Rhinolophus ferrumequinum: one gene and its partners. The protein of the gene in region 1 interacts with the protein of each later gene in a biochemical or structural test. Links are inferred from orthologs where the notes say so. Each region holds a gene or a part of one and is shown on either strand. Other genes may lie near its edges.

Evidence for each region.
Region 2: of the proteins of UBA1 (region 1) and UBE2Q2, one has a biochemical effect on the other in vitro, tested with the Homo sapiens proteins (3 studies listed by BioGRID). The link is inferred for Rhinolophus ferrumequinum from reciprocal best matches to the Homo sapiens genes UBA1 and UBE2Q2.
Region 3: of the proteins of UBA1 (region 1) and UBE2G2, one has a biochemical effect on the other in vitro, tested with the Homo sapiens proteins (5 studies listed by BioGRID, with this or other methods). The link is inferred for Rhinolophus ferrumequinum from reciprocal best matches to the Homo sapiens genes UBA1 and UBE2G2.
Region 4: of the proteins of UBA1 (region 1) and UBE2A, one has a biochemical effect on the other in vitro, tested with the Homo sapiens proteins (6 studies listed by BioGRID, with this or other methods). The link is inferred for Rhinolophus ferrumequinum from reciprocal best matches to the Homo sapiens genes UBA1 and UBE2A.

Annotation. Positions count from the first base shown.
Region 1 is NC_046284.1:86,707,908-86,714,813, forward strand, and holds the start of UBA1 (ubiquitin-like modifier-activating enzyme 1), read right to left. Parts: upstream 3,021-6,906; 5' UTR 2,881-3,020; intron 4-2,880; exon of another isoform or gene 1-3. UniProt on the Homo sapiens protein: Catalyzes the first step in ubiquitin conjugation to mark cellular proteins for degradation through the ubiquitin-proteasome system.
Region 2 is NC_046311.1:492,290-500,071, forward strand, and holds the start of UBE2Q2 (ubiquitin-conjugating enzyme E2 Q2), read right to left. Parts: upstream 3,017-7,782; 5' UTR 2,789-3,016; coding exon 2,612-2,788; intron 1-2,611.
Region 3 is NC_046285.1:107,865,894-107,873,396, reverse strand, and holds the start of UBE2G2 (ubiquitin-conjugating enzyme E2 G2), read left to right. Parts: upstream 1-4,485; 5' UTR 4,486-4,566; coding exon 4,567-4,609; intron 4,610-7,503. Other genes in the region: SUMO3 (small ubiquitin-related modifier 3), read left to right, coding at 1,052-1,144. UniProt on the Homo sapiens protein: Accepts ubiquitin from the E1 complex and catalyzes its covalent attachment to other proteins. In vitro catalyzes 'Lys-48'-linked polyubiquitination. Involved in endoplasmic reticulum-associated degradation (ERAD).
Region 4 is NC_046284.1:37,347,829-37,354,835, reverse strand, and holds the start of UBE2A (ubiquitin-conjugating enzyme E2 A), read left to right. Parts: upstream 1-3,990; 5' UTR 3,991-4,193; coding exon 4,194-4,237; intron 4,238-4,371; coding exon 4,372-4,452; intron 4,453-4,869; coding exon 4,870-4,895; intron 4,896-7,007. UniProt on the Homo sapiens protein: E2 ubiquitin-conjugating enzyme that accepts ubiquitin from the ubiquitin-activating enzyme E1 and transfers it to a E3 ubiquitin-protein ligase. In vitro catalyzes 'Lys-11', as well as 'Lys-48'-linked polyubiquitination.

The DNA of each region.
Region 1 (6,906 bases):
CTGAGCCCAAGGCCGGAACAAAACCTTGGGCCCTACCCCCAGGAACCCGGATGCAGGCAGACCGCGCCCATTCATGAATCATGAATGTTGATCCCCGCATGTCAGGGACTCATTTGAAGAGGAATAGCTCCACCTGGTGGCTACTATGGCACTAACTAGGAAAACCAGGAAAGCAGAGGAACGTGAATAATGAATATATTGCTGCAGCCAGGCTGCCATGGAAACCAAGAAGGGACCTCAAGCCCACACTTCCTGATCATGAATTATGTATATGCCCAGGTGGTTGGTTGACCAACACTCTGCGACCAGAAAGCCAACATGGAAGCCACGCCCCACTGTCATGAATAATGAATGATCTTGCAGCAGCCCGGAAGCCAAGGAGACCAAGGCTACATCTCTTATGAATAATGCATGAGGCCCCGTGGGCTGGAACAAAAGGGGCAGGCCCACCTATTACAGCATCTAATACTCTGTAACCTGGGAAATAGGGCTACTACAGAAAAAATACCCTACCCGGTTCATGAATAATGAGTAACAATGTTGCAGCAGCTCAACCTGGAAACTCAGAGAGGTCAAGAAAGGTCCCACCCACTCATTATGAATTATGCATGAGACTGGATGGACAGCCCTCCCAGCAAGTAGGGATTAGGGTAATCCAGCCCTGGCAACATGGGCAAGCCTTCCTGTACATGAATAATAAAAGCCGATGCTGCAGAGCCATGGCGGAAACCCAGGGGAAGTGTAGCAGCCGCCTCCCCACCCCTGACTAACTGCACGTGAAATAGGGCTGCCTTGTTCCAACCAAATCCAGACGCACTACATGCCTCTGGCAAGTGCCTCAATTTCCATGACTGTAAAATGGGGATAGCAAGAGAACCCATCTACCTCATAAGGCAATATATTATCAAAATCAGAGAATATGAATTATGGATGAGCTCAGTGTAGTGCTGGCACAGGGCACTGTTAAATTTTAAAATATATATATGTGTATATTACTATAAAGGTAATATGTAAATATATTAATATAAAATTAGTTGTGTGTGAGCGTATTCGCAACCACTAGAGAAGCCCCCCAACTTGGGGCATTATTTAAAAAATAATGCCTTCAAACACCCTCCCAGAAGGACACTGGAAAACAGAAAGCTCAGGCCACCAATATCCATTAAATAGGTAGGACTGACTGCCAGATGAACCCCAAGCACCGAATACATTTCTGTCGAATAATAATAGATCCCATTAACAGATGTGGTGTCTCCTTTCCCGGCATTGTGCCACTGATCTCAGGAATGCAGAGCAGGAAATCGATTTCTTCTTGTCCTTCTTCTTGTCCTTCGGGTCTCAGCTCAAAGGTGACCTCCTTAGAGAGTTCTTAAACCCTCACAAAAATCACTTCCACCTACCGATGACTAGCGCTGTGACCTGGGGCCAGACATTTCACTTCTCTGGGCCACTGCTTCCCCACCCATAAAATGAGAATAGTAACCTACCTGATGATGGATTTTAAATGAATAAATATGTAGAAAGGGCTTAGAACCGTGCCTGGCACATAGTTCTATTTAACTAACAGTGGTAGTACCATTAAATTAGGGGGTACAGACTCTGGAACTAGACTGGCTAGGTTTGAATGCAGGCTCGGCCACTCACTGACTGGGAGTAGGCAAATTACTTACCCTCCCGGTGTCCCAGTTTCCTCATCTATAAAATAGGATAATAACAACTTACCTCCTAGGATTGTTGTGGGGATTAAATGTGCTAATAAAGTGCTAAATTAGTGTAAATTAATCTGATCGTCATCATGCCCATGCCCACTTTTCAGGCTCACGGAAAGATTTGACAAAGATCACACGGCTTGGAAAGAAGACGATTTGAATCTAGATCCTTTGTTGATAATCTGAGATTACTGAGCTTTAAGAAATGAACCATGCACGAGGTTTAAACCCTGGAGCCTACAAGGCAAAGCTAACAGTGTATCATGCAGATGAATCCATAAAAGCTACGCCCCTCATGAATTATGCACAACGCCCCTAGAGAAGCCACTGACAACTTGGGTGCTACTCACCTTTACGATTAATCAATGAGGTCTAGTTTGCCCGGCAAACTGTAGAACGCCCCTTCAGCACGCTGATCCGCCCCATCGTGAATAATTCACAAGCCGATACTTCCAGCGGACCAGGTGCGAAAGAGGCAAAAAAATGGGCTTCCTCATAGCCCCACCTCCTCATGAATAATGAAGAAAGCCGCGGCCAACGAAGGCCGGGTGGCACCCAGTACCCTCGGGAAGCGCGTAGCAAGCTGTGCTCCGGCGTCCCTTCCACAGCCTGGGCTGGGGGCTCCTCTCCTAACAACTTGTGGGCTCTGACCGGTCCAGTCTCCCCGCCCCGAGTAATCAAGCACGGGGGGGGGGGGAACCGCATCATATAAGCAGAGGTCACAAAGGCCACAGATACCTTCACAATGCCACGTCGGTCCTGAACGTTCCTACCGTGGTCAGGACCTCTCCTGAAAACAAGCCCTCTCAAAATTCCGCCTTGACTTCAGGGACCTCAAACTTCGCCTCTCCCCTTGGGAAGCACCCCAAATCCTGCCTCATGGACAGAGTACTCATTCATGGACCATAAGGGTCTCCCCAAACATCCCCCTAAACCCTGTCTCCGAGGGGTATATAAACCTTGTCTCCAAGGGATATTTCCTACAACAGATTCCCACATCCCTCCCCGGAGTCCCCAAAAGCCACTTCCTAAGGGTCCCTCAAAAACAGCCACCCCTAAAAGCCATCCCGGGCCCAGAGCCTCCAAATATGCCCATTGGGGGATCCCCGAAACTGAGCCCCCTCCCTCAAATTCTGTCCAGGGGCTTGGGGGGCACCGTGCTCCAGCTCACCCCCTGCGCCGGGCGGAAGCCTCGCCTTCCTGCTGGAGATGAGCCGAAGCCACGGGGCAACGGAAGAGCAAACCACCTCCGTCGCACAAGAAGAGCCAGAGTTTGCGCGGAGCTCGGAAGCGCGGGGACTTGGAGGGCCCCGGTTTGGGACGTACCACAAACGCTTAGCTAGAGGGGCGCCCGCCCCTGCTCCCGCGCCTTCGGCAGAACGTGTCAGACCCAGACACCCCTACGGGTTGTGGTCCTTCCTGAAAGCGCGAGGCATGCTGGGGGTGGTAGTCCGATCTGGCCCCCGGCTGGTGCACGTGGTGGGCATCAGCGGCCAGGGTATGGGAAAATGTAAACCTGGGCTGTGGAATTCCGGGAGCGGTGCTCTGGGAGTGAGAAAAGGGAGCGGAACACTGGGGTACCTCCAAATGGAAAGACACACCCATCCTCCAGATGGGAAGGCTGAGGCTCAGATGGCCAAAGGAGTTCATTCATTTGACATTTATGGAGCTCAAGCGGTAGGTCAGGCGCTGGGGATGCTTTCTTGCCTTCACGGAGCTGACATTCTAGCAAGAGAGACAGACCATAAACATAACACATAAGTAAAAATTATAGCTTCGCATATAAATATGTATTAAAATAGATACATGTGACTATATAATATATATTATGTAATACAATGTACATATAAATACTACATAGTTTACATAACATGATAGCTAGTGTCAATATGTAAATAATTTACATCTGTATATAATAAATGTCTTACATTTAATACATCGTGTATATTCTATATTTGCATGTGAATATATAACTAAATATATATGCAAATGTGTGTTGTATATATAATTCCTAAATGCTATGGAGAAAAATAGAACAAGGTAAGCAGAAATTTGGGGGACAGTGGGGTCAAGGAAGATGTCACGCGGGGTGTCATGCGGAGTCTCTGGTCCCGCTCCCCACATATGAACACAGGACCCGGTGAGGCCAGAAAGGAAAACCCACGGAGCCATAGATAGGGGAGTCATACCACTATAGTCTCACTGGAGGCTGGATTCACACGACGTGCGCTTTTCTGCCAACCGACCGACTCCCCATTTGCTAGCTGCAATCCGCCTCTGCAATCCGCAATCCACACTCCGCCGCTTGGTAGCTCAGCCACCATCTTCTTGCTAGGCCCTATTTTTCTGCTAGCGTAGCCACGGCAGTTATATTAGTGGCCAATGGCTCACTGGTTACAGCTGACGGCCAACTAGCCACAGCTGATGGCCATCCAATCACAGTTGATGGCCATTTACTACCTGAGCCAGCACCTTTCCACGTGAGGCCGAGAGCCTGGAAACTGCACTCCTGGCTCTGTCCCCACAGAAGGCCTCGCTGAGAAGATGTTTGAGCGAAGGTGTTTAACACAAAATGCCTTTAACATCTTATCCCAAATTCTGTACCTCATATCTTGTCAACAACCTCCAAATTTGTTCATTTGAAAAAGATTTATTGAATGCCTACTGTGGGGACAGAGTCCCAGAGAGCAGAAGGCTCTCGACCTCATATGGAAAGATGCTGGCTCAGGTAATAGATGGCCATCAGCTGTGACTAGTTGGTCATCAGCTGTAACCAGTTAGCCATTAGCTACTAATATAACTGCCTTGGCTACGCTAGCAAGAGGGGTTGGTTGGTTGGCAGAGAAGCGGACGGCGGATTGAGGCTGGCAAGTGGGGTTAGCAAGCGTGGTGGATAAGAGGATTGCAGATCGTGTGGGTCCTACTTCCTGCATCTCACTTGGCTGCCATTGAGACTGGGGTGCAGGAAGACCCCCTTGGGGTACTGGCAGATGTTTGCTTTTGTGTCTCGACCAGCTGCCATCGAGAATATAGTGATGTGACTCCCTTATCTGTGGCTCTGTTGTTCCTTTTTGGCCTCACCGTATCCTGCATTCTTGTGTGGGGAGTGGGAGCTGAGACCCTCCATGACACTTACTAAGTGCAGAGCACTGGGGACACTGCAGAGAACATAACAAGGAGACTGCCCTTGCAATAGTCAAGACCTCTCTTCCATCAGATCTTTTCCTTATTTATCGTTTGCCTCATCTCAGAGAGACCTGCCCTAATACCTGTGGGGACAGAGTCCCAGAGAGCAGTTTCCAGGCTCTCGGTGTCACGTAGAAAGGTGCTGGCTTGGGTAGTAGATGGCCGTCAGCTGTGGCTAATTGGCCGTCAGCTGTAACCAGTTAGCCAATTAGCCACTGATATAACTGCCACGGCTGCATTGGTGAGTTGAGTCAGTCGGTTGGCAGGCAGAAAAGCGGACAGCAGGTTGCAGGTCGTGTGGATCCAGCCTCCAGTGAGACTATAGCGGTATGACTCCCCTATCTATGGCTCCATGGGTGTTCCTTTTTGGCCTCACCATGTCCTGCGTTCTTATGTGGGGAGCGGGTCTAGAGACCCCGCAGGCCACCTCACACGACAAATGGTGCAGCGAGCAGGGTCTCCCGCACGACATACCCCATGTAAAGTAGTCAGGGAATGCCTCTCAGAGGTGGCATGTGAAAAGTGAGGAAGTGAACCACAAGGAACATGGGGAAAAGCATTCCGGATAGAGGAGACATCCAGTGCAAAGCCTTGAGCTTGGAAGTTCTTAGCATGTTTGAGGAAGTGCGTGGAAGTCTTTGTAGCTGGAAAGCAGTGAGGGAGGGAGAGTGCTGTGAGATGAGATCCTAGGCCATGTCAAATAGGGCATTGCAAGCCAGGCTGAAATGTTTTTTATTCTAAGATCCATAGGAGCCATAAAAAGATTTTAAGCAGGAGAGTCACATTATATAAATTAGATTATATTTTATTTATTTTTTTAACAGGATTTTATTGGTGAACAGTGTGTACTTCCAGGACTTTTTCCAAGTCAAGTTGCCATCCCTTCAGTCTTCGTTGTGGAGGGTACAGCTCAGTTCCAGGTCCAGTTGCTGTTGTTAGTTGCAGGGGGTGCAGCCCACCATCCTTGCAGGAGTCGAGGAGTCGAACTGGCAACCTTGTGGTTGAGGGCACCCTGGCCTATATGGGAATCGAACCAGCAGCCTTCAGAGTTAGGAGCACGGAGCTCCAACTGCCCGAGCCACCGGGGCCGGCCCCCTATAAATTATATTTTAGAATAAACAATCTGGCTGCTCTGTGTGGTGAGAGAACAAACTGTAAGGGGAAAGGGAGAAGCAGAAAACTCAGTGTAAAGGCTACTGCAAGAGTCAAGGAAGTGATGAGAGAGGATCAGACCAAGGTGGTAAAAGTGGAAGTGGTGAAGTGGTGAGGAAGGATTAGATCTTGGATTGATTTTGAAGGTAAAGATGCCAGGATTTGCGAAGGGGTCAGATACAGGGAGATACAGAGAGTCTTGGCTGACCCCCGGGTTTTTAGTCTGAGCAGCTGGAAGGATGGAGTTGTCATCAGCTGACAAGGGAACTACTCCATTAGGAGCAGGTGTGGAGCAAGATCAGGAGTTTGTTTTTAGATGTTACATTTGAGATGTCTGTTAGACATCCAAGGTCTGGTATGTGTCCGTTGGGTGAACAGTTGGGGACCAGGTCTGAAATTCAGGGGCTGGAGGGAAATCTGGGCTGGAGATATGAAGACCATTAGGGGTGACAACTGAAGCCATGTGTGTGGCCAAGTCCTTCTTTGAAGAATTGATTGGCTTCAAATGGATCAGTGGGAGTAATTGAGGCAGGATTTGGACTTTCCCAAGTGAGAGGGAAAGGCATTCCAGTGGGAGGGAATAGCTTGAGCAAAAGCATGTGGAGAAAGTAGGGGGGGACAGTGGGGGCCGCAATAGTTGTACCATTTCACATTGCCTCCAGCAGGAAAGTGCCTTTGGATGTTTGCCAATCCTGTGTAATTATAATTTGCATTTTCTTCCTGGGAGTGAACTTAAACATCCCTTCATAAATTTAAAGGTATTTGCAGTTCTTTTCTGGGAATTCATGTCCTTTATGCATTTTCTATTGGATGGTTGTACTTAATAGATTTTTAAGGAACTGTTTATTAGCCTTGTTTT
Region 2 (7,782 bases), on another chromosome or scaffold:
TTAAAATTGTCTTTCATAAGAAGCTGACGTTAAATTATAGATTTCCTATCAAGCCCTCAATGACCTTTTATTTATGCACTATCGACATCACTATCTTGTTGTCACCTCTGCACGTTTGACCAACTCTTGGCAGTGAACTTACACAATAGATAAGATTTTTGTTCAAATAGAATATAGCTAGAATGGTGACCATATAGTGAATGGAACAAATATTTACTCAGCATTTACTGAGTGGAGGATGAAAAGCATAATTATAGAATATTCTCCCCTGCCACCATTAAAAAAAAAAAGACTTGAAAAAAGACAAGCATCCAAAACTATTATAATAGAACACAAGAAAACATAACCAAAGCAGTAAATAGAAAGGACTTATGGAAGGGATGAAGAGGAAATAAATATCAGCCTGACCTGAAGATGACCAGAAGAGCCTTGAGAGACAGTCAGACACTGAAAGACGTGCCCCATGGGACAAACTGCTAAAGCAGAAGCCCGAAAGGACAGGCGCACAGGGTCTTTAGAAGATTATCAGGAATTAGCATGCATCACTCAAACACTACAGCAAATGCATAAGGATGCTTCTTGGTAAACATGGAGAAGACAGGGCCTGGCATGGAGAGCTTAATAAACACCTGGTGTAAGAGGAATGTTAAAGAACAGATCAAACTCATTATTATTATTTTTAAAGAGCTGTAACTTTTAGAGAAAAGCAAATCACAAACACAGCAGACAGGTCCTGACAGTTGAAATCCCACCCCACTTTTTCCTTGCTCTTTCCCCTCTAAGAAAATGGTATCAACATGAGCAAGTCATTTTAACACAACACTCCTCTCTGCTTAAAGAGGCTTCATCTTTGAGATACACACTGAAAAGTGTACAGATGAAGTGATATGTCTGGAATCTACTTCAAAATAACCAAAGGAGGGTGCAGATGAAATAGGATTGGCCAAAGGTTTATCACTGTTGAGGCTGGGTGCGTGGAAGTTCTCCACACGATTTGACGTGTATGCCCGTCCAAGTACGCGGAGCAGGTACGTGCACGACAACCACCTTCTGCCGGGTATCATGACGCAGTGGCAGCTCAGTTCGAACAGTGCGTTAGTAGTTCCGTTAGACTAGTTCCCACCAACGCTGCATCCATTGGGCGCCTACTGCACTCACTGCATTTCCTAACCCAGGTCGCCACGCAGGATCTTTGCGGGCAGACGCAGAATCCTAGCAGCCTCCAGTAAGGTTCTCCACGGGGCACTGCTGGCATCTGAGGTGGCACGACTCTGTGGTGGTGGACCGCCTGATCGTACAGGACATCTAGCATCCCGCTCCCCCGGTACTAAATGCCAGCACAGCAGCACCAGCATGTCACCCCCATGGGGACAGCGACGCGCTTCACATTTCCTAATGCCACCCACTGTAGAGAACCACTCTAGTCCTGGATGGCAAATATTTTCCCAAGTGAGCTGAGTAACTTGGTGGTCCCCACAGCCTACAAGTTCAGTCTCCTGTCACTGCAACCAGCCCTACCTTTTGGGGGCTGTCCCCAACTTCCATGAGAATAGTCACCACTGGGCCAGTCTCCTGCTGAGAAAACCTGCACCTGCCAAATCCTGGGCTTCTCAGGTCACTGCAACTGCTCTCCTGCCCAGCAAAGCACGTTTTCCCAGCGGCGGGGTCTTTTCTGCCAGAGTCCTCAGCCTGAACCGCCCTTTTGGTGCCTCACGAAGTCTCCTCACCTGCACTGCCCGCCGCCTCAGAGCCTTCTCCGAGGTGCCGCCAGCCCAGCAAAATCAAAACGGGGTGCTGTCTCTGGCTTTCCCAGTGACACACAGAGCGGGGTCCCAGCTCGTCGTGTTGGCGGGTTCCCCCACCCCGCCCAGCGGAGCTCTGGGAGCAGGGGCTCCCGCCCCACCCTGCAAACGGTCTGGGAGCCTGAGGGGCTCGGGGACCGGGTCTCTGCTCAGGACAGCGCCCGACTCACGTCCTGGGGAACACACGTCTGCTCCCCCAGGTGGCATCCCTCAGTGTTCGCCGACTTCACGGGAGGGAGGCAGGGACCCTGGCCCGGCGTCACAGGCACGGAAGCCACCACCAACCCCGCTGCAGCCAGGAGCAGTCTGCAGCGCGCACCGGCCACAGAGGGGCCCCAACTTCCCGCCTCAGCCACCCCTCCGAGCCCGGGTCTCCGAGCCGCTCTGCTCCGGGAAGACTGAGCGCACGGGGTCCTTCTGGCTCGGGGACAGGAGCGCACGTTGTGGGCGGCAGCCTGTCCTCACCTGCAGGCCCTGCACCTGCGGCACCGGGCGCGCCGCAGCCCCTCACACCGTCCGGTTCGGTGTCAACTTAAAGTGCTGCGGGACAGCGCGCGGCCTGACGGACTGCCGAGGGTCGGTCCCCTTCCGCGCCGCCCGCGCGCCTCAGCGCGGCCGCCGTCCCCGTCCCTTCGCCTCCCGTCACCTCCCTCACCCCGGCGGCGACCCGGCCGCGAGGGGGCAGCGGCCCAGCCCGGGGACGCCGAGGCGGCGCCGCCGGCCCCCGAGCCTCGCGCGGCGGCGGCCTGGCGTCTTTGTCCCAGCCCGGCCCCGGCCCCGGTTCCGGCCACGGCCGGGCCCCGCCTCACCGTGATGTTGCAGTGCAGCGTGAGCGGCGGCGCCGGGGCCGGGCTGCCGGGCGGCCGCGCCAGGAACTGGCAGTGCAGCTCGTCCAGCTTCCAGCTGACGATGCGGAACCGCTCGTGGTTCTTGTGGAAGATGGACGCCAGGAACTTCAGCTCGGCTTTGAGCCCCGACACCGACATCCTGGCCTCATCTCCGGCGGCAGGGAGCCGGGCCCGCGCCGCCGTCACGGCCGGAAGATGGCGAGGCCGGGCGCCGGGGCCTTGGGGCGCAGGGACGGCGGGAGGGCAGCCGGGCAGGCGGGCGGCGACGGCCTTTGTAACCGACTCGGCCGGCTGAAGGCGGCGGCCCGCGGCTTAAAAGGGCAACCGCGACCCCGCCCGCCTCCCGCCGCCAGGAGAGGGCTGCCCGCCCCGCCCCGCCCCCCGGCGCGCCCCGCCCCCTCGCGCGCCCGCCCGCGCGCTCCCGCCAGGCACGCGCGCGCGCCCGGCGCTCGCGCCCGCGGCTCCCGCCTCCGCCACGTCGGCGCGCCGCCCGGACCCCTTAGCGGTATCGGCCGCCGGCTGCCTGCGGGCCCTGGCCGACGCCCCCTCCTCGCTCGCACGCGCGCCGTCTACCGAAGGCGACGACTGGGCCCCGTCATGTCCCACTTGCCCTTGTCCGCGGCCTCTGTTCATTCACTCTGCGTTCATTTCCTCTCAACCGCCTGAGCCTCTGGCCCGGCTTCCAGCGGGTCGTAACCCCGTCCGCGCCCACGGAGGCAGGGTTGCCAGGTTCCAGTCAAGTCCCAACTCAGATGTCATCTCAGACCCGGCCTCCCCGACCCCGCCATCCAAGACAGCCACCCACTCACCCAGTGTCCACTGTTTCCTCTGCACCTATCGCTGTCCGATATTTTTCCTATTTCTTTGCCCACTGTCTCTGCCCAACACGAAAGTCTTATTCCGGCCCAGATCCCCAAGACCTTTACTATATGACACCCAATATGACTGCATGGACGCTGCTATGGGACCCCCAACATTAACACAACCCCTGGCACATTCCAGGTGCTCCAAAATCGGGCGAAGGATGCCCAGCAGGGCAAAGGAGGACGACACTACTGGGCACCAGTTAAAGTGTGTTTAGGACCGAGTGCCAGAGGCAGGGCCCAGCTGACAAGGCTTTCTGCTGGGTTTAATGCTCTGCTGTACCATTTTGAAATGCCTCATTTTTCAACAAGTGGCTCAGCATTGTCCTTTTACACTGGTCCTGACTCCAGGTCCCTAGCCCTCCACTTCATGATGCACCGAGGGGCTCTGGTCTCCTGGTCTTTTAGCTGACAGAATGAGGATCCACTGTCACTGAGTCCACTAAATGAGGAACATTTTAAACGTTTTTATTTACTTCTGAGATGTTGTATCATGATCTTGTGCTCCGTAGCCATTCTCACAGACCCCTTTGAGAATCTCATGAAAGCTATCATCCATTTTCCCAGGAAAACACCTCAGCATATAAAGTGTACTGATGGAGATTCATGGCCCTGACACAAGAAATGCCGCCAGCAACCGGGACTGGGAGGGGAAGGGATTCCAGTCCTGAGCTCTGAGCCGAAAACAGCTGGGATACTGCCCTGGTGTCACTGGGCGCCTAAGCACAGCCGCGGTTTGCTGCTTTCTTTTGTCACCAGTCCCCACTACTCTCGGGACCCTAACAGGCACAGAAGTCACAGACAAGAATTTGAGACAAAGGGCAAGAACTTGTTCAGAATTCAGTATGACTGAGAGATAAAGTGCCCTGAACAAGTGATTTGATCTATCTACGCTTCATTTTTTTAATTTCTAAATTGCTAGGAAAAAATAAAGAGCTTTATAAATTGCAAATGCTTTCACTAGTTAGACCTCAGAAATATATATAAATATTAATTTCACAATCATTTTTGAGCATCTGCTGTGTGCCAAGCCCTAAGAGGGCTAGAGCAATAAATAGATAGAGCCCCTGAATTCAAGAAGCTTGAAGTCTAACACTGGAAACAAAACAATGTTTCCTGGTTCTTTAGGTTGCAAATAACAGAAAACTGTGACTTACAGGGCTTGGACAATAGGAAACGGATTACTTCACATGATAGGAAGTCCAGGGCAGGCTCCAGGCTCGGCTGATTAGAGCTGCAGTAACGTCATCAAGAGCCCAGATTCCTTCCACCTCCTTTTTCAGGATGACAGCAAGGTGGCTGTAGCAATTCTTGTGGGTCATATCCAGACATGATGACATCCAGAGTCAGAAAGGACTATTTCCTCCATGTCTCCTTCCAAGATATGGGCACCTTTCTAAGAATCTGCCCAACTGACTTCCCCTCTGTGACACTAACCAGAAATGTGTCACATGCCCATCTCTAAACCCATCACAGGTAAATGGATGGGACCACTTACTGGACTCCCATCACCTGGGATGGAATGGACGTTGGGAGTCAACCATAACGCCTGCTACAGACACATCATATCACATGTGATAAGAGGGTCAAACTACTGAATTACTACCTGTCAGGAGAAGAAGAAATTAATTCCAGAAATTACCATCACAAAAGTATGGCCATGTTCACATTTTTTCAGAAGTAGAACAAATAATTCTGAAATTTATATGGAACCACAAAAGAGCTCGAATAGCCACAGCAATCTTGAAAGATATCATGCTACCTGATATCAAACTATACTTTAAGGTTATAGTAATAAAAACAGCATGGCATAAAAACAGACACATAGATCAATGGGTTAGAATGGAGAGCCCAGAAATGAACCTACACCTATATGGTCATTTAATCTATGACAAAGGAGGCAAGAATATACATTGGGGTAAAGACAGTCTATTCAATAAGTGGCTCTGGGAAAACTGGGAAATACACACAAAACACTGAAACTGGACCACCTTCTGATGCCACCTATAGGCATAAACTCAAAATGGATTAAAGACTTAAATGTAAAACCAGAAACCGTAAAACTCCTCAAAGAAAATATAAACAGTAAAGTCTCTGACATTTCTCTTAGTGATATTCTTTTCTGACATATCTCCTCGCTCAAGGGAAACCAAAGAAAAAGTAAACAAATGGGACTACTTCAAACTAAAAAGTTATTGCACAGCAAAGGAAACTCAACAAAACAAAAATACAACCTACTGAGTGAGAAAAGATATTTGCCAATGATACATTTGATTAGGGGTTAATATCCAAAATTTATAAAGAACTTACACAACTCAATACCAAAAAAAAAAATTCCGAACAATCCAATTGAAAAATGGGCAGAGGACATGAAGAGGCATTTCTCTAAAGAGGACATACAGATGGCCAAAAATCACAATGAGATTCCACCTCCCTCCTGTCAGAATGGCTCATCAATAAATCAACAAATAACAAGTGCTGGCGAGGATGTGGAGACAAGGGAACCCTCGTGCACTGTTGGTGGGATTGCAGATTGGTGCAGTCACTGTGGAAAACAGTACGGAGGTTCCTCAAAAAATTAAAAACAGAACTACCTTATGAGCCGCAATTCCATTTCTGGGTATTCATCCAAAGAAATCCAAAACATTAATTTGAAAAGATATATACACCCCTATGTTTACAGCAGCGCTATTCACAATAGCCAAGATATGGAAACAACCCAAATGCCCCTCAATGGATGATTGGATAAAGAATTGTGGTACATCTTACTATCTGCAACAACATGGATGGACCTAGAGGATATTATGCTAAGTGAAGTAAGTCAGACTCAGAAAGACAAATACCGTATGATCTCACTTATATGTGGAATCTAAAGAACAGAATAAACGAGCAAACAAAACAGAAACAGACTCAGAGACACAAAGAACAAATTGATAGTTGCCAGAGGGGAGGAGGGTTGGGGAACTGGGTGAAAAAGGGGAAGAAGTACAAATCGGCAGTTATAAAAATAGTCACAGGGATGTAAAGTACAGCACAGGGAATATAGTAAATAATATTGTAATAACTATGTATGGTGCCAGGGGGGTCCTAGACTAATGGAGGGATCACTTTGTAACTTATATAAATGTCTAACCACTATGCTGTACACCTAAAACTAAAATAAAGTAATATTGAGTGTCAACTGTAATTGAAAAAAAAAAGACCACGGTTCCAATTTCCATAGAACTAATAGATCACTATTTCCAAAAAAAAAAAAAATTTAAAATGTTTCCAATAAGAGTTGCTGAAATAGCTCAGTTGGGAGAGCCTTAGGCTGAAGATAAAAATGTTTCCAATACAAAAAAAAAGTATGGCCATATTCATAGAGCATTCAAGGGTACACCAAGAAGATGATGAAGCTGAGATGCTGGAGACCTGATTTTGGAGCCCTGAGATACCATGCCAAGGACCAGTTTCATTCAGTGAGATCATCCCTTTTCAGAAGATTAATCTGGCATTAGTGTACAAAGGGGATTACAGTGAGTTTCAAACTGTAAGTGGCCACCAAGAGGCAAGAACCCCAGAGTCCAGATGGGGCACGCCGTTGATTCAATGGGGCGAGTCACATCCTGCTCTGAGGTCTGGTCCATGCCAGCAGCGAGAAACGCTGAAGTGACAGAGGGGACCGCGGGAATGGGAAAGACTACACTGGTCCTAGGGATATGTCTGAGGTAGAACCTGCTAGATCTCAGAGTCGATACCGAGATGGAGGGAGAGAGAGAGATGTCATTCTGTTTCCTGTAACATTTTACAATTTCCAGAGTAGGTGGCTGGGAGAGAGTATGCTATGGACACAAACAGAGAAAGAGGAATTTGAGGTGTTGATGGGACCCCAGAGAACTTGTGTCTGGAGGGCATAAGGGAAGTCAGAGCAAAGGACATATCATTGTGCATCAGCGACGTGGAGTGATGGTGGAAGGGTGGTGAAGCCATCCATGGGTGTGGCTATGACCACTGAGTGACAGGCAAGGGAAGACCATTTGGACTACTGAAGGGACCCGAAGAGGCTCACGTTGGCAGTTTAATGGGAAACGATGCATTGGAGCAGATGATGACCCGTGTGTCGCATTATTGGCGGAAAGGACCAGAAAGATCAGGACCAAGAAAAAGCCATGGGCTTCAGGGCTGACGTCAATGGGGTCTTGGAGGAAACCATGGCCATGGGATGCTGGCCCTGGGGTGGAAGTGAAGGCTTCACAGTGATGAGAAAGAGAAGTGCAGCGGTCACCT
Region 3 (7,503 bases), on another chromosome or scaffold:
TTTTGTAAGCGCCTGCCCTCCCCACCCTGTCTGTAAGTGTTGGTCCAGCGTGTCGCAGGCTTCAGTCGCAGGTGGAGGCCGAGGTTCAAGCTGTGTTCTTGTCCTTCGCCAGCCCAACAGCCCGACGGCATCGTAGTCCAGAGCCAGACTCTGTTGGAGTGTCTGGTCCTTCAGAGTCCCCATCAGTCTGAGTAGCTATGTGCAGGCGACGTGCTACCACCTTCTTGAGGGACTCTGCTGCTGCTAAGACAGTGGTTGGCTCTGTGAGGATTCCTCGGGGGCTTGCACTGTGGGGGCTAGAAAGCTCTCCTCCCGCCTGTCACTCTGGCTCCCGCCCACGTGGTGTCTGGGGCACCCGCCAGCCCAGACGGTACTTCTCTGCATTTCTGAGAACATTTCTGGGAAACATTACTGCCCGGTTGGTCTCTGTACAAACTGGTAGCAGCTTCCTTCAGTTTCGTGAATAGACAGTCATCAGGTAGACATCTGTGCCCGTGCTGTCAGAAAGCGAAGGTGGGGAGCTTTTGCCCCATGTAGGGCCTGGTCATGACAGGGAGGGGCCGGGCGGGGGGGCAGCAGTGGCCCCTCCCAGCGGGTCCTTTGCTCATTGGCTTTGCTTTGGAACCCGCAGGCACCGCCCACTGCCCTGGTTATGAAGAGGCCCCGCTCACTGGATGTTCCTTATTGGAATCTTTGTCTAATTTTCAGGAAGAATTTGAGATACTTGTTCATTTTTTAATGAGGCTTAGTTTTCCTTGCTATCAGTTAAAGTCGGCTTTGAATATTCTTTTGTGAATTTCGTTAGGGGAAGCTTGGAGAGTAAGTGGCTTATAGGAAATTCTGGACAAAGCCTTTTCCCTGCTTGTGACCCGGGGAGGAGGCCACGGAGCATAGGTGTGATCGGGCAGTGTTGACCAGTGCGGGGGGTGGTGTGCATTAGTGAGGGGGACTGCAGTGGGCACGGTGTTCAGAGCAGTGTCCGTACCTCTGATGGAGTGACAACTAACAGCTTCCCCCTCTCTTGCTGTGCCTGTCCCGTCGACCCTGCCAGCTGGAGATGGAGGACGAAGACACCATTGACGTGTTCCAGCAGCAGACGGGAGGCTCCTGGAAGACTGGCTGCTGCGCAGGATGCGGCCTCTAGAGGGACCGGCCCCACTTTGTCACCGTCCTTGTTTGCTGTTGAATAGTGAATACGTGACCATGCGAATCACAAAGGAGTCTGCGGAAACCGAGGACCTCCACCAAAATTCCTTTCCTCTGCGACGTCCCGCGGGTGCAACTCAGAACTGTCTGCAGGGACACACCCTCGCCTAATACCTGGCCAGGCAGTTGTCATTTTGTTTAGGAAAATGAGCGTGAGTTTTTTGGGTTTGTTTTTGCTCTCATTTTTGTTTCCCCCCCACCTCCTATGACATTTCCCCAAGCTTGTGGCCTGAAGGTCCACTGTTAGTCTAGACGGGGATCTTTTCCCAGGTATTGACCCCCCCACCCCGCCACTGCTTATTCCAGTCACATAGAGGGCTCACGTCACTGCAGTGGGGGTGCTTCTGTGGGACAAGTCGGGGGGCATGGTGGGGGTGGGAGACAAACTTCCACTTAACTATTTCTTGTAGGCACAGGTTTTTTTAAATGCCAAATGTTACAAATTTAAGTTTTGTGAGAATATGGTAGAGTTGAAGGGAGAATATTGGAATGTTTTCTAAAAGGTAAAAAGGAAAATAAGTGAGTCCCTCAGTAACATGGCCCTGGGTGCTCTGTTCCACCAGAGTCCCCTCGGGTGAGGGTGGGTGCAGTGGCCGTGACACTGCATGGGCGAAGCCTGGCACAGCGAAATGGGCTTTTCCCCTTTTACTACAGAGGAAAGCAGTCCCCACATTTCTCACTTGGTGATAGTACGCTCAGATTTCTTCTGGTATTTGCTTCTGATGAATAATTATGGTCTTGATATAAAAAAGTACGATTAAGTATTGCTGAATTTGCAGTGACGTTTTGTGTAAAAGCTGTTTCCAAGTGTGGTCACACGGCCTGTGCAGAGACAACTTCCTGTCCCTCTCGAGGGCTGTGCTCTGCTGCTTCCCAAACCGTAGCTGTGACTTCAGTCTGTGAAACGTTTGGGGATCTGTACCTGTTAAAACTTTTAGTTCCCCTCCTCCCTCTGTACGGACCCACTGCTGCCTGGTGGCCCTGCTCTGCCTCGTTCTGTCACCTGGACAGTGCGACCATGACTGTCATCTCTTGCTTGCCCGGAATCTTGCCTTTCCTTTGTGTTTTGCTGTTGGGGTGTGGGTGGGGTGTCTGCTGGCCATGTTAATTCACCAGTTTGTACATTCTTTGTTGTCCTTTACTACTGTAAACAGTAAATATAGTTTGGTATTCTGTCTCTTGTATTAAATACTGCATTTGGAGGTTGGGGCTGACTGTCACAATTCAGCATTTGTAGTGACCATTCAGCGAGGCCACCCAGACTTCCATTTAAAGGCTAGTTGCTGAAAAGTAAGTATCCACCTGCTGCACCCCTCCCCACACCCCTGCTGGGCTGGGGCCGAGGGGGCCATCCTGTCTCCTCCCGAAGCTCTTCCGTGACAGGTGAGCCAAACGGGCATTGGGATGCATTGGGATGCATTGTGATGGACTTTTCCTCTCCTGGGTGTCTCCTCGGTGTCTCGTGAAGAGAGGGTGGGTTTTATTTATTTATTTATTTTTAATTTTACCGGGGAATATTGGGGAACAGTGTGTTTCTCCAGGGCCCATCAGCTCCAAGTAGTTGTGCTTCAATTAGTTGTGGAGGGCGCAGCTCAGCTCCGAGTCCAGTTGCTGTTTTCAATCTCTAGTTGCAGGGGGTGCAGCCCACCATCCCATGTGGGAATGGAACCCGCAACCCTGTTCAGAGCTCGCGCTCCTGTGCTCTAACCAACTGAGCCATCCGGTCGCCCCAGAGGGTGGGTTTTGGAGGCAGTGGATCTGGACATCAGGCTGGGTGGCTCACGTTGTTGGGTACTTGACTGTCAGACTTCTATTTTCCTCTGTGCGGTTGACAAGCTACTCTTTGAAATTGAGTGAACTGATGCTAAGTTGACAGAGGACTTCCAGTGGACTCTGCTGTGACAAAACCAGGGGTGAAAGGGAGTGAGCTGTTTTAGTCCATCAGGTGAGGGTCAAGAGTAGCTGGGAAAAAGTGCGCTCTAGCCAGGCTTACACCAGCAAAAGGAGGTGGGCTGAAGCACATTACAGGGGTGAGTCATTTGCAGGTGCCCTGGAAAAGCTGGGGGCGGGTACATCTCACAGAGGGGCCCCTGCATTTGTGCCTTCAGTGGAGTGAGCAGTGCTGAGCTGCAGGTGCGACAGTGCAGTGCTGCCTGAAGTCCCCCACACCTGACCGGAGAAGGAAGCTGTCCTTGAGGTTGTCTTTTCTCTTAAAATTTATGCAAATGGTGCATTTGGAATAACAGCTCTCAGTATTAATATTTTAAAAATGGTAAGTTACACATCTAAATCCCAAGATCTTTGGGTTAAATTCATGCTTCAGGAGGAGATAGCTGTATTTATCCTGTTAACTGGTTTCCAGATCCCAGCTGGCACTGCCCCATGTCAGCACTGAAAACCCCACCGTCGTCCTGCATAAACTTACAGGTGGCGAAGCATATTAATGCTCCACCTTAAAACACGGGTTCAGCCGTGACATACTTTTTATATTTCAGAACTTTAATTGCCAAAATACAAAAGACTAATTTTTTTCTAACTTGCTGGCCTCCCCAAGGTGCGATGCTTAGGGAGCCATGAGACATCACCTGTTACTCAGAACCCTGTCATCCTCGGCAGGCAGCGGGCTGGCTGCGGCTCGGGTCTCCAGTGGGGGCCAAGTCTTGGGCACCCCGAGTCCCGGCTGGGCCGCGATGACGCGGAATAACGCCACCACCGTCACCAACCTTCTCTTTCCAAACCTAACCCCTGTCCCCTGTCGGGAGGTAGTCGGGGCATCGATGTGTGGATGTCTTCGGAGCCGGTCTCCTTCGCCCCTGGGCCTGGCGTCAGTAACCTGCCCCTAGGGCAGGGGTGCCGGCGAGCGCGCCCGCCCGTCGCGCCCACGTGCAGTGGCCGCTTCAGCGACTGCAGCCGCCTCCTTCTCTACCCCTCCTCCTGGGGTCTCTAAAAAACACCCCACCAGAATGACGTCTGCCCAGCCCGCAGTCCATCGCCCAGCCACCGGTCCCGTCCTCCATCGGACCCTCCTGCGGCCAGTGTGACGGGACAGTGTGCGCCTGTCGCCCAGGATCTTCTGGGGAAACCAGGGCCCCGCAGGTATAAGGGCCGCCGGAAGCGGCGTTGACCCCACAAAGCGGCTGAGGGGCCGGGCGTCACCCCCGCTCACCCGACCTCGGGGCCACAGCGGCCCCGCCGCGCCCCCGACAGCGCCCGCCCGCCGGCCCGCCACTGCGCACGCGCGCGCCGCGCCCCGGAAGGGCTTCTGCGTCCGGCCGGCGACCCGGAAGCAACCCGGGCTTCGGGCGGGAGGATACGAGCGCTTCGGAGGCAAGGCCGGACCGCACAGCTGTTACCCCGACGATGGCGGGGACGGCGCTCAAGAGGCTGATGGCCGAGTACAAACGTGAGTTCCGGGCCGGCGCGGAGCCCTGGGCGGCGCCGTGCCTCCTCCCGGCCCCTCGTGCCGCCCTGGCTCGGCCTCCCTGGCCCCGGCCCCGGCCCTGGGCCCCCGTCCCCGGCCGCTGCTCCGAGAGGCCCTGGGCGCGCGGGCCGGGGGCGCTGCGGGCCGCCTCTGGGCGGTGTGCGGGCCCCGGGGTCGGACTCCTCGCCGCACGGAGCGTGCCCCTTTGTGCACGGGAGGAGCGAGCGCGTCTTGTGGCGGTAACTTGGGAGCCGCAGGGTCTCCGGGCTGCGCCTCCTCTCCCGGTGTCGGTACGTGGTGCGGAGAGCGCTCGGGAGGGGCGAGGCCACGTTCCTGCCGCCTTGGTTTAGAAATGCGTCAGGAGTGACGTCCAGTGTCCGTTTGTTCCTTAGTTCTGGCTTTGGCCCTTTCGGTAATGGAGAGAACTCCCTGCTTCCAGCGTGCGGGGAGGGGGCAGCGAAGCCGAAAGTGCCCGCGAGAACTTAAAGGGCCGGTTTAGGGGAGAAGCGCGTTGTGGTGAGTTCGCGGTGAAAGGTCGCGTTCTGGTTTTCTCGCCTAAGGAGCGGAGCGTTTGGACGGTGCCACCCCCGTCCTCCTAGGCAGTGCTCAGCAAAGCGCCTTAGTGCTTCCCGAGCCGTCCCTCTGTCCAGCCCGCGGAATGCTCCCGGGACAGTTGCCGTGACCCGCCCGGGGGTGCCATTCTGAGCTGGGGGCCCGAGTGGCAGCCCGCTCCTGGGTGACAGCAGGGCCTGCGTGTGCTTCCCGGCTCTCCCACCTTGGCTCGCCCCTTCGCCTCTGCGCGTCCCTCACCTGGAGACGCGAACGCCTCACGACAGACCTCATAGGTAGCTCTTGATCATGTTCGATGTTGTTGTTGTAGTTACATTGCACGTACCTTCGGAAGAAAGTTGAAAATAATGACTTAATGAAAATAATTGATACATATGCATGCAGCTCAGTTTCCTAAACCATGTTGGTGGCACTGCGTGGGGAGAGGTGATTAGCAAACTGTCGCAGATGCAGGCGCAATAAAATAATTTGGACAATACTCTCCACGTTGGGCCCTCTGGAGTAGGAACAGATGCTTCCGGGAGACTTGAGAGTGAGGGGACACGGGGGTGAGGTGGGGGCTGTGGCCTCTGTCTCCTGGGAGTCCTTCGGTTCCCTGCCACCCTGCTCTGTGCTTCTGTGTCTGGCTTAGTCTGTTTGGCCTTGTTTCTAGACCACGAGTGAGTATTATCTTTCTTGTTTCTGTGGAGAAGGAATCTGTTAAGCCCCTTCACGGGAATGAAGTTCCGGCTGCTGCTTCAGTCCAGTCGTTGTTTTGTTGAACTTGTATTTCCTCAGGATATTTGCATTGGCCAGGGCGATTTTTCTCTTCACTCAAAGCTTCATCCATTATTTCAACCATGTTGTCAGTTTGCAGTAATGGAATGTATATAATATTTGACTTTCAAAGCTGTATCACAGAAGTGTATTATGTGTGCGTGTTAATATGTGGCACGTGGGAGCCTGTGCCGGCAGAAGTGTACACATGTCCCGAGATCCCTGTCCCCGCTTACGCAGTGGGACACCAGCCTAGGCTCTGCTGAGAGGGGACTTTGCAGCTGTAACTGGCTTACTAACGACCTGACTTTAAGACAGGACGATTATCGTGGATTATCAGGGTGCAACCCAGTAATCGCACGAGGCCCCAACACAGAAGGGGAAGGCAGGAGAGGAGAGGCGGGAGAGGAGGTCCTGAGGAGGGGAACTGGGAAGAGGGGCCAGGAGCTCAGGAAGGTGGAACCTGAGAATGAATGGTCCCTGGCCGAGCAGCCAGGAACCTGGACCTCATCCTACAGCCGTGGGAACCAAATTCCCCAACACCCGGAATGGGTTTGGGGGGCCGCCCTGCCAACACCTTGACTGCTGCCTTGTGAGACTAAGCAGAGAACCTTCCTGCCCAGCCTCTGACACAGGAAGCGCGTCGTGGGGGGTTGCTGTAAGCCACTGAGTGTGTGGTGAGTTGTCCTGTGAGCGATAGGAAGTGAAGTCTGTTGTTGAGGGGTGTTGTTGTTGCTGTGTCTTAGTAACGTGGTCATGTTCCACTGACTGATTCTTGTCTTTTGTGTCTTAGCGTCTAGTTCGTCCTCCTACCAGTCTGCAAGGTGGCACACCCACACAATCAGCTGCCCTGTGGCAGGGGCTTAGATAGGCTTGGCCAGGGTCAGGGCCAGGCGTGCTGTCCGTCCGTCACCGTCGCAGGAGTGCAGTCGACCTTGGCTATGATTCTGCCCAGGCCCCCGCTTTTACAGGAAGTTGAACACTGGAGAGGCAAAATGATTTGCTTCGGTTCTTAACACGAGAAAAGGAGCCAGGTAAAGAACGCAGTGTTTTAAACGGATGCCTTGTTTAGATGTTTGTCTTCACTCCTCCCCTGGCCTTTCCCAGGACGGCAGAGGTAGACTTGGGTTTGAGTGTCCGGGGCTGCCCTAACAAAGTGCACCAGGGGGTGTCTTAACACGACAGACACGTGTTCTCTCACAGTTCTGGGGCCGGAAGTCCCACATCAAGGTGTCAGGAGGGCCGCTCTCCCTCTGAAGGCCCTGGGGAAAGGCCCTTCTCGCCTTTCTGGCTTCCGGTGGCTGCCACCATCCTTGGCATTCCTTGGCTTGTGGTGGTGTCACTCCGGTCTCTGCCTCTGTCTTCACGTGGCATCTTCCCTCCTATAAAAGTGCCGGTCAGTGAATTAGGGCCACCCTAGTCCAGTGTGACCTCATTGGAACTTGAGTTCGTCATCAGGCCCCCATTTCCAGATGAGGTCACTGTCACAGATTCTGGCGGACATTAATGAACCCAGTGCAGTAGGAACCCCAAACTCACGTGTATAAAAC
Region 4 (7,007 bases), about 49 Mb from region 1:
ATCCAGTGGAGAATCCATTCTTTGTCTCTTCCAGTTTCTAGAGGCTGCCCACATCCCTTGGTTCCTCAGCTGGTGGCTGTATCACTCCAATCTCTGCTACCACCATCACATGGCCTTCTCCCTGAATTCGGACTCTTCCTTCCCTCTCATTTAATTCTAGATAACCTCCCCATCTCAAAATTCTTAATTTAACCACATCTGCAAAGTTTCTTTTGCTATATAAGGTAACATATTCACAGGTCCCAGAGATTAGGACATGGAGGTCTTGGGTTGGGGGGCATTATTCAGCCTTTTTTCCTCTTGATTCAACTATTCAGCAGGTAGTGAAATCCTATGTTCACACCTTAATTTCCCCATTTCTCTAAGCTTCACTATTTCTCTCTCCTCTCCTTCTTTTCCTTCCCTTCTCTCTTTTTCTCTTTCCTTCCCCCTCTCTCTCCTCTTTCTCTCCCTTCCTGTCCTTATGTCCTAGGAGCTATATAGATGGACAGCATACTACTACTTTTATTGCCAAAAGCACACACTGTGATAACTGTTCTTTCCTATGTGATCCTCTTGACTTGTCTCCTGAGATTATTTGAGTCAAGAAAAACCTATTTTCTGTTGTTTCTTGGTTGTCATTTGTGCTAAATTTTATCAATAGAAGTGGAAACTATAGGAAAATAAAATTCCTTTCCTTGACTGGCTAACAGAAATAAAAACTCACAGCCTCATGAGGCAGGAAATGATCGTTTATCTGGTCTCTCCTTCCAACCCAAAATAGTTCAGGAAAATCACAATCTATTCCACATTTTGAAATCCCACAATTTCCCTAGTCATATATTCCCATATTTCCTCCCTTTTAGGAAAATTCTCAAATCTTCGCCTACTGACAATTTGGAATTTTTTATCTTCCCTGCAGCTGCATTGCTAACACAGTTTAAGCTAAAAAGAACTTCCAGTTTCTTGACCCCTGCTCTTGGGGAAGAGGGGATGCTTGGCCGTGAAGATGTTATTTGTTTAAGATGTCAAGTTGAGAAGGGGCTGGAAGGACTGCTTGGCCAACTCTGCTATAGTTACTATGTTCTAGTCTGATAAATTGTCTGTGCTGGAGAACAATCTTCTGTGTTGCTGTTTGCTATGACAACCCTGCTTCTGATGAAGAATGTAGGAGCACAGTATTCCTGTAATGCAGTTCCACTGTGCAGTCAGGGTGCTCTCCCCATGCCCTGGTACCATGGGGCTTCCAAACTGCTTTGGTTCATGCTCCTGACTTTTCTTGATTAGATAGTCCCAAGAGGGAAGAGCAAAGGAGCTTCAGAAAACAGACAAGCCCGCAACAAATTGAAATGCATCTGTAGCATTTGATGACTCAGATATTTATATCCAGTGGCAAGAGCTTCCCAGTGTCTTTCCTACTCCCCTTCTCAGTAGGATGTTTTCAGCACATCTCTCTTAGGCTCAAACACTGACAAAAGCTACCTATCAAGCCTAAATTCCTCATCCTTGCATTTGAGGATATTTAATCAACTTCTGTCACCCTCACTTTTCCTAGTGGAGGTCTCATCATTCTCCATTAGCCACGTTAATCTGCCCACTATCCCCAGAACATGGTTTAGCTCCATGTCCTTGTTCATGCTGTTGCCCTCACAGAAACTGCTTGAGTTCTTCTCTCCCAAGCCCTGCTTCCATCTCTTTTGAAACAAAATTGAAATAGACCCATTCTAGGAAGCTTATTCTAACCCCACCAAATTGATGAGTCGCCTGCTGTACAGTACCTCAACATTTGCGGGTTCACATGCTTCTGCTATGTAGCTTGCTGCTGCTCTGGTAGGCAGAATTCTAAAATGCCATCCCCTCCCTCAAGATTCCTGGATACTGATGTACACACACCTTCTTCCAGTTATTCAAGCAGACACTAATCTAGGTTCTGCTGTGAGGGAATTTTGCAGATGTAATTAAGGTCCCAAATTACATGATTTTAAGACAGGACATTATCTGGGGTGGGCCTGATCTAATCAGATAAGCCCTTAGAACTGGGCACTTCCTGAAGAGATTCAAAGCATGAAAGGGATTTGATGGGAGAGAAATTCTCTGCTGCTGGCTTTGAAGATGGAATAGGCTACATGGCAAGGAATGTGGAAGATGTCCAGGAGCTGAGAATGGTCCCTGACTGGCAGCCAGTGAGGAAATGGGGACCTTAGTACTATAATTGGGAAGAACTGAACTTGGCCAACAACTTGTGATAGTTTGTTAAGCAGCAATAGAAAACAAATGCATCTGCTTTTGTAGATCTTGCTTTTGTTGATTTCATATGTGTGTATTTGTGCAAGCTCCTAAATGAGAGGAAAAGGTTTTTAAAACTTATTTCTGTACCGTCTTCCCACCACAGCTATAATGTGAGACTATTAGGGAGACTTACTTTAACTGATATGTTGAATTTAATGGGAGATATAAATCCTTGGCCATGAAGGTACGTGTTGTTAAGCAGCAGCTAGAATTACAACCAGTGTCAAGTGTCTCCTGCCTCCCATGTTACAAACAAATTTCTGCACCTCTGATGTCTTCTGGACATCTCTACATGGATGTCTCATCAGTCCTATGAACTCAGTAAGGCCCCAGATTTCCTCTCCTAAAACTGCCCCGTCCCTCTAGTTCTGTTACTGGCACCTTTAAACCTCCAGTTTGGCACCTTTAAACCTTACAGCTTAGAACTACAGCCATTGTCGACTCCTTCCTCTGTGTGACCCCCACATTTAATCTGTTGCCAAGTCCTCTCCATTCATCCCCTCATCTCCATTTTTATTGTCATTGCCTGATTCCATATCTCTCACCTAGAATAATTTCAGTCTCTCTCCTAGCTGCTCTCCTGGGACCAATGTCTGACTAGTACAGCCCTAATCATGTCACTTCTCTGCTCACCCACCTTCCAAGAAATCCATCAGCTTGGCATCCAAAATTCTCCAGGACTTAAGCGAAATCTACCTTTCTCATATTTTCAAAAATTCTTACATGAGCATTTTGCCTACCTTCTGAGTTATTTGGGGTTGACCTTAAAAATTATTCTTTAAAACTGTTATTGCTCTTGCAGGTCCGCATCTTGTGACTCTTCCCTGCCACCTCCACCTTTTTCACACACATCTTCCCGTTACTTTTACTTCAGATCCACTGCCCTTCCACTTCTCTGCAGTTGGACATTCTCAGACATTGGACCCTTCTGAATATATAGCAGCCTCTCAGCTTGTTGAACTGCCAAGGAGAAATGTGGTTCCAGAACCAAATTGTGAGTGTCCAGAGCTATAACCTCATTCTTGCTTAAACTCTCACTCTCTCCCTCAGGACACACACCACCATTTTATTCTGCTTTGGGGTGATCATGGGCCTAAATGTTGGGACTCGAATCTCGCACAGGAAAAGGGACCCACTGCCTCCTTTCATAGTTGAGGCCGATTTATTTTTTTGATTTTTCAGTGATTTTATAACAGGTCATACACAACCCGTCCCCAGTCTCCTGTGTACTCAGGGGATGTGCACCCTACAGTTCCCGCTTTTTGAGAACAGCTTTGCTTCAGCCCACTCCCCGCTTCTCTAGTTTGGGATGTCCATCCTTCTCCCCCAAGCCACAGGGCGCACTTTAAGTGATCTAGTCTTAAAAAAAAAAAAAAAGGAAAGAAAAAAAAGAAAGGAGGAGGAGGAGGAGGAGGAGGAGGAGCAGGAGGAGGAGGAGGAGGAGGAGGAGGAGGAGGAGGAGGAGGAGGAGGAGGAGGAGGAGGAGGAGGAGGAGATACAAAAAGAAAGCCGAGGAAAGCTTCCCAGGGTTCGTGCTAGATTTGGCAGGTGGGGATGGAGCCCATTCCACCACCCAATCCTGGGGAATTGGCCTCGCCGCCTGCCTCTCAGCCACCGTCGGGCTTCGGCGGGGGTTTAATGGCCTAAGCAGGTTTCCTTACCACCCCACCCTCCGCCCGTCTTGGTACCGTCTGTCCGGCGTTAGGCATTCCACCCCCCGTTCCTTCCAGGTTGGTTCAGCCCGGGTCTACTCCGGGGTGGTGCTTAGCCGGCGCCAGACCGACCCTCGACTTCTAAGGGGTAGTGCTGTGCCTCTAGGCGCTTCCTCCCCGGCTACTTCGGCTTCTCCAGCGTCCTCGGCCTCCTTACCCTCCGCGGGCACCCGAGAACTCGGTGTATGCTCCAGCCCTGACCCCGCTCGAGATATGTCTACCCCGGCTCGGCGGCGCCTCATGAGAGACTTCAAGAGGTAACTGACAGGGACCGCGGCGTCCAGGGCCGGCAGCGGGGCGCAGGGCGGGTCCCGAGGCGGGCCAGGGGAAGGGGGCTGCCCGGAGCGGTCGCGGCTGCCGGATCGTGGGGCCGCTGTCTGTTTCTCTGAAGGTTGCAGGAGGATCCTCCAGCCGGAGTCAGCGGGGCTCCGTCCGAGAACAACATAATGGTGTGGAACGCGGTCATTTTTGGGTGAGTCTCTGTTCCGGGCGGTGGCGAGAGATGGGGAACTCAAGGTGGCTCTGTCTGCCCTACGGGACCGGCCCCTGGCGAAGGCGGAGAGGGAAGGGGACAGTATTAGGGTCTGGCCGGGCCTAGGCTCCTCCCCGGAGCCTGTGCCTCGATTAGCTCAGTTCCCGCTGCCAGGGGAACCGTTTGGGGTTCTCAGGGGGGCGGGGCGGGGAGTGGTGGCGGTTAGAAGCGGCGGCCTGCACCAGGTTTCTGAGCCGGAAACATCTATTTGTGGTGGCTTTCCGACCCAGGAAACGGTGCTTTACCAGAGATGGAGTTGGCGGAGCTTGACAGAGCCTGGAATAGCCATCTCCTAAAATGAACCAGGGAGAAGGGAACCCCTTAAGCCGGAACTGACTGTTTTTCTCTCTGTTGCAGGCCCGAAGGGACCCCGTTTGAGGATGGTAAGAGAGTTTCTTTACCCACCTTTCAGGAGCCTGATCATCTGGTGAAAGGGTTCCTAGTCATCCTGGAAGTGCCTTCTACTTAGGAACCTGCTTCTCCCTAGCTTCTGCCTACTAAAGGCTTGAGTGGAATCTAGTATGTGGCAGGTTGTGGCAGTATGTGGCAAGCTATTGTCCGCTTGACTAGAACTGCAACTTTTGTCTTGCTTGCTTCTTTAAAAAAAAGTCTGGGTAAGGCAATCACTTTTTAAAAGGAGCATCATAGCACTGATATTAAGGACTTTTGAGGTCTGGGCTGTGATCCTGCCAAATTCAGCCCCCCTTCAAGATACTGAGTACATATCACCCCAACCACTTGCTGATAGACTCAGAGACCCCAGAGACCATCTAGTTAGAATTTGAGTGCCTCAATTAAGACTTTATGCTCAGTAATCTCAATCTTCAGTATTGACGGTAGCCTTAATGGACTTTCAGCTGGTGTCCACCCTACTTGAAGGGACTACATGTACTTACAGCCACATAATTTTTAATGGATTTTGGTTTGACTTTTAAAAACACATATTAATTGCTTTTTAAAAACTTTGTATTCCAGATAATTATAGATCCATTTGTAGTTGTAATAAATAGAGACTGTATGCCCTTCACCCACTTGCCCCATCCCCTCTTTTGGTAATATCTTGAATCACTATACTACAATATCACAATCAGGAAGTTGACATTGCTAGTTTTATGTGCACTCAATTGTGTGTGTAGTTGATTATTGAACATTTAATCCATTTAAAATATGATTAAAAATATTTGAACTACTGATTGACATCTTTAATATTGAGGTATTTAAAAAAAGAAAAGGATCTTTCTGTTGCTTTTTTTCTCACAATGATTTATCTTCCTTTGGTCATGTAGCATGTGTGTGTGTGTGTGTGTGTGTTTGTGTGTGTATATAATATATATATACATATATATGTGTGTTGTATATATATTTGTGTGTATACACACACACACGCACATAAGTCAGTTTGAAGGTGGGAACAAAAACATTTCTGCAAACTACGAAGTCATACTTATGTTGCCGAGTTGGATTGCTTTTTGATGCTACCAATTCACAAGATGTGAGGTAGGTCAATATCAACCAATTCTATAATTTGTCTCAAATGCTCAGATTTCCCTAGGAGACTGCAGACAGTCACCTGAATACTTTTAACTTCCTGTCTGCTTTCATCCCCTGGGTAAATATCACTGTTCTTCAGCGCTGCAATAAAAATAAGTGACAGCAGGAGAGAGGGATACTAAAGGCGCAGTACTTTGGTGCAGTAAATCATTTGAAATTATCCAAAGCAAGACTTAATTTTCCTCTGCTGGATTGGTGCTAGTTCTTCCTACCTAAACTTTATGTGCAGATTAACTGTATATTTGCTTTAGCTTTAGCAGGCTTTGTTTTCGTTGCCTTTTTTTTTTTTCCTCCTGATTTTGCTCAAACTGCTTTATGCTGGGCATAGCTTTATTAATAGTGTATCATTTTGCTGGAAGTTAGCTACTTAAATATTTCAAGGGTGCTTCTCTTGTTTTAAGTGGTATGAATTGAAAAGGTACTTATGGAATCCATTACCTACCTGGATCTTCCCTCCTGACATTACAGGCTCTGTTTTTAATGATGTGTATCTCCATCCTGGCATTACTGAAAGGAATTACTCAAGCTCAATGACAGTAGCCTTTTCTGATTCATTCTGTTGAGCAGTCTGCTATCCAAGGATGCTTCCTCAGGTGTCTAGACTGGGGCTAGGTGTCACTGACTGGGGCTACAAAAATATTTTGATGATTTGTTAATATCCGTCACTTACAGTTAGGGAATTTACTGGAAAAGACTGATTATGGACAAGTGGCATAGTTGATTTTGCTGTTTCCATGTATTACATAACTCAACAGCCTCAAAACTACTTTTGCTGTTTCCTTGTAAACCATTTGTAATAGAAGTTTCTGGAATAGCCAAGCTCTAGTTACAGAGATGAAATCTTAAGAAACAGAACTCTTAAAGGTATTTTGATTTAACTTCACACACTTGAAGTAAGAGGAAAATGTTCCCAAGAGCTTACACTACCAAACAAAGCACTGCGT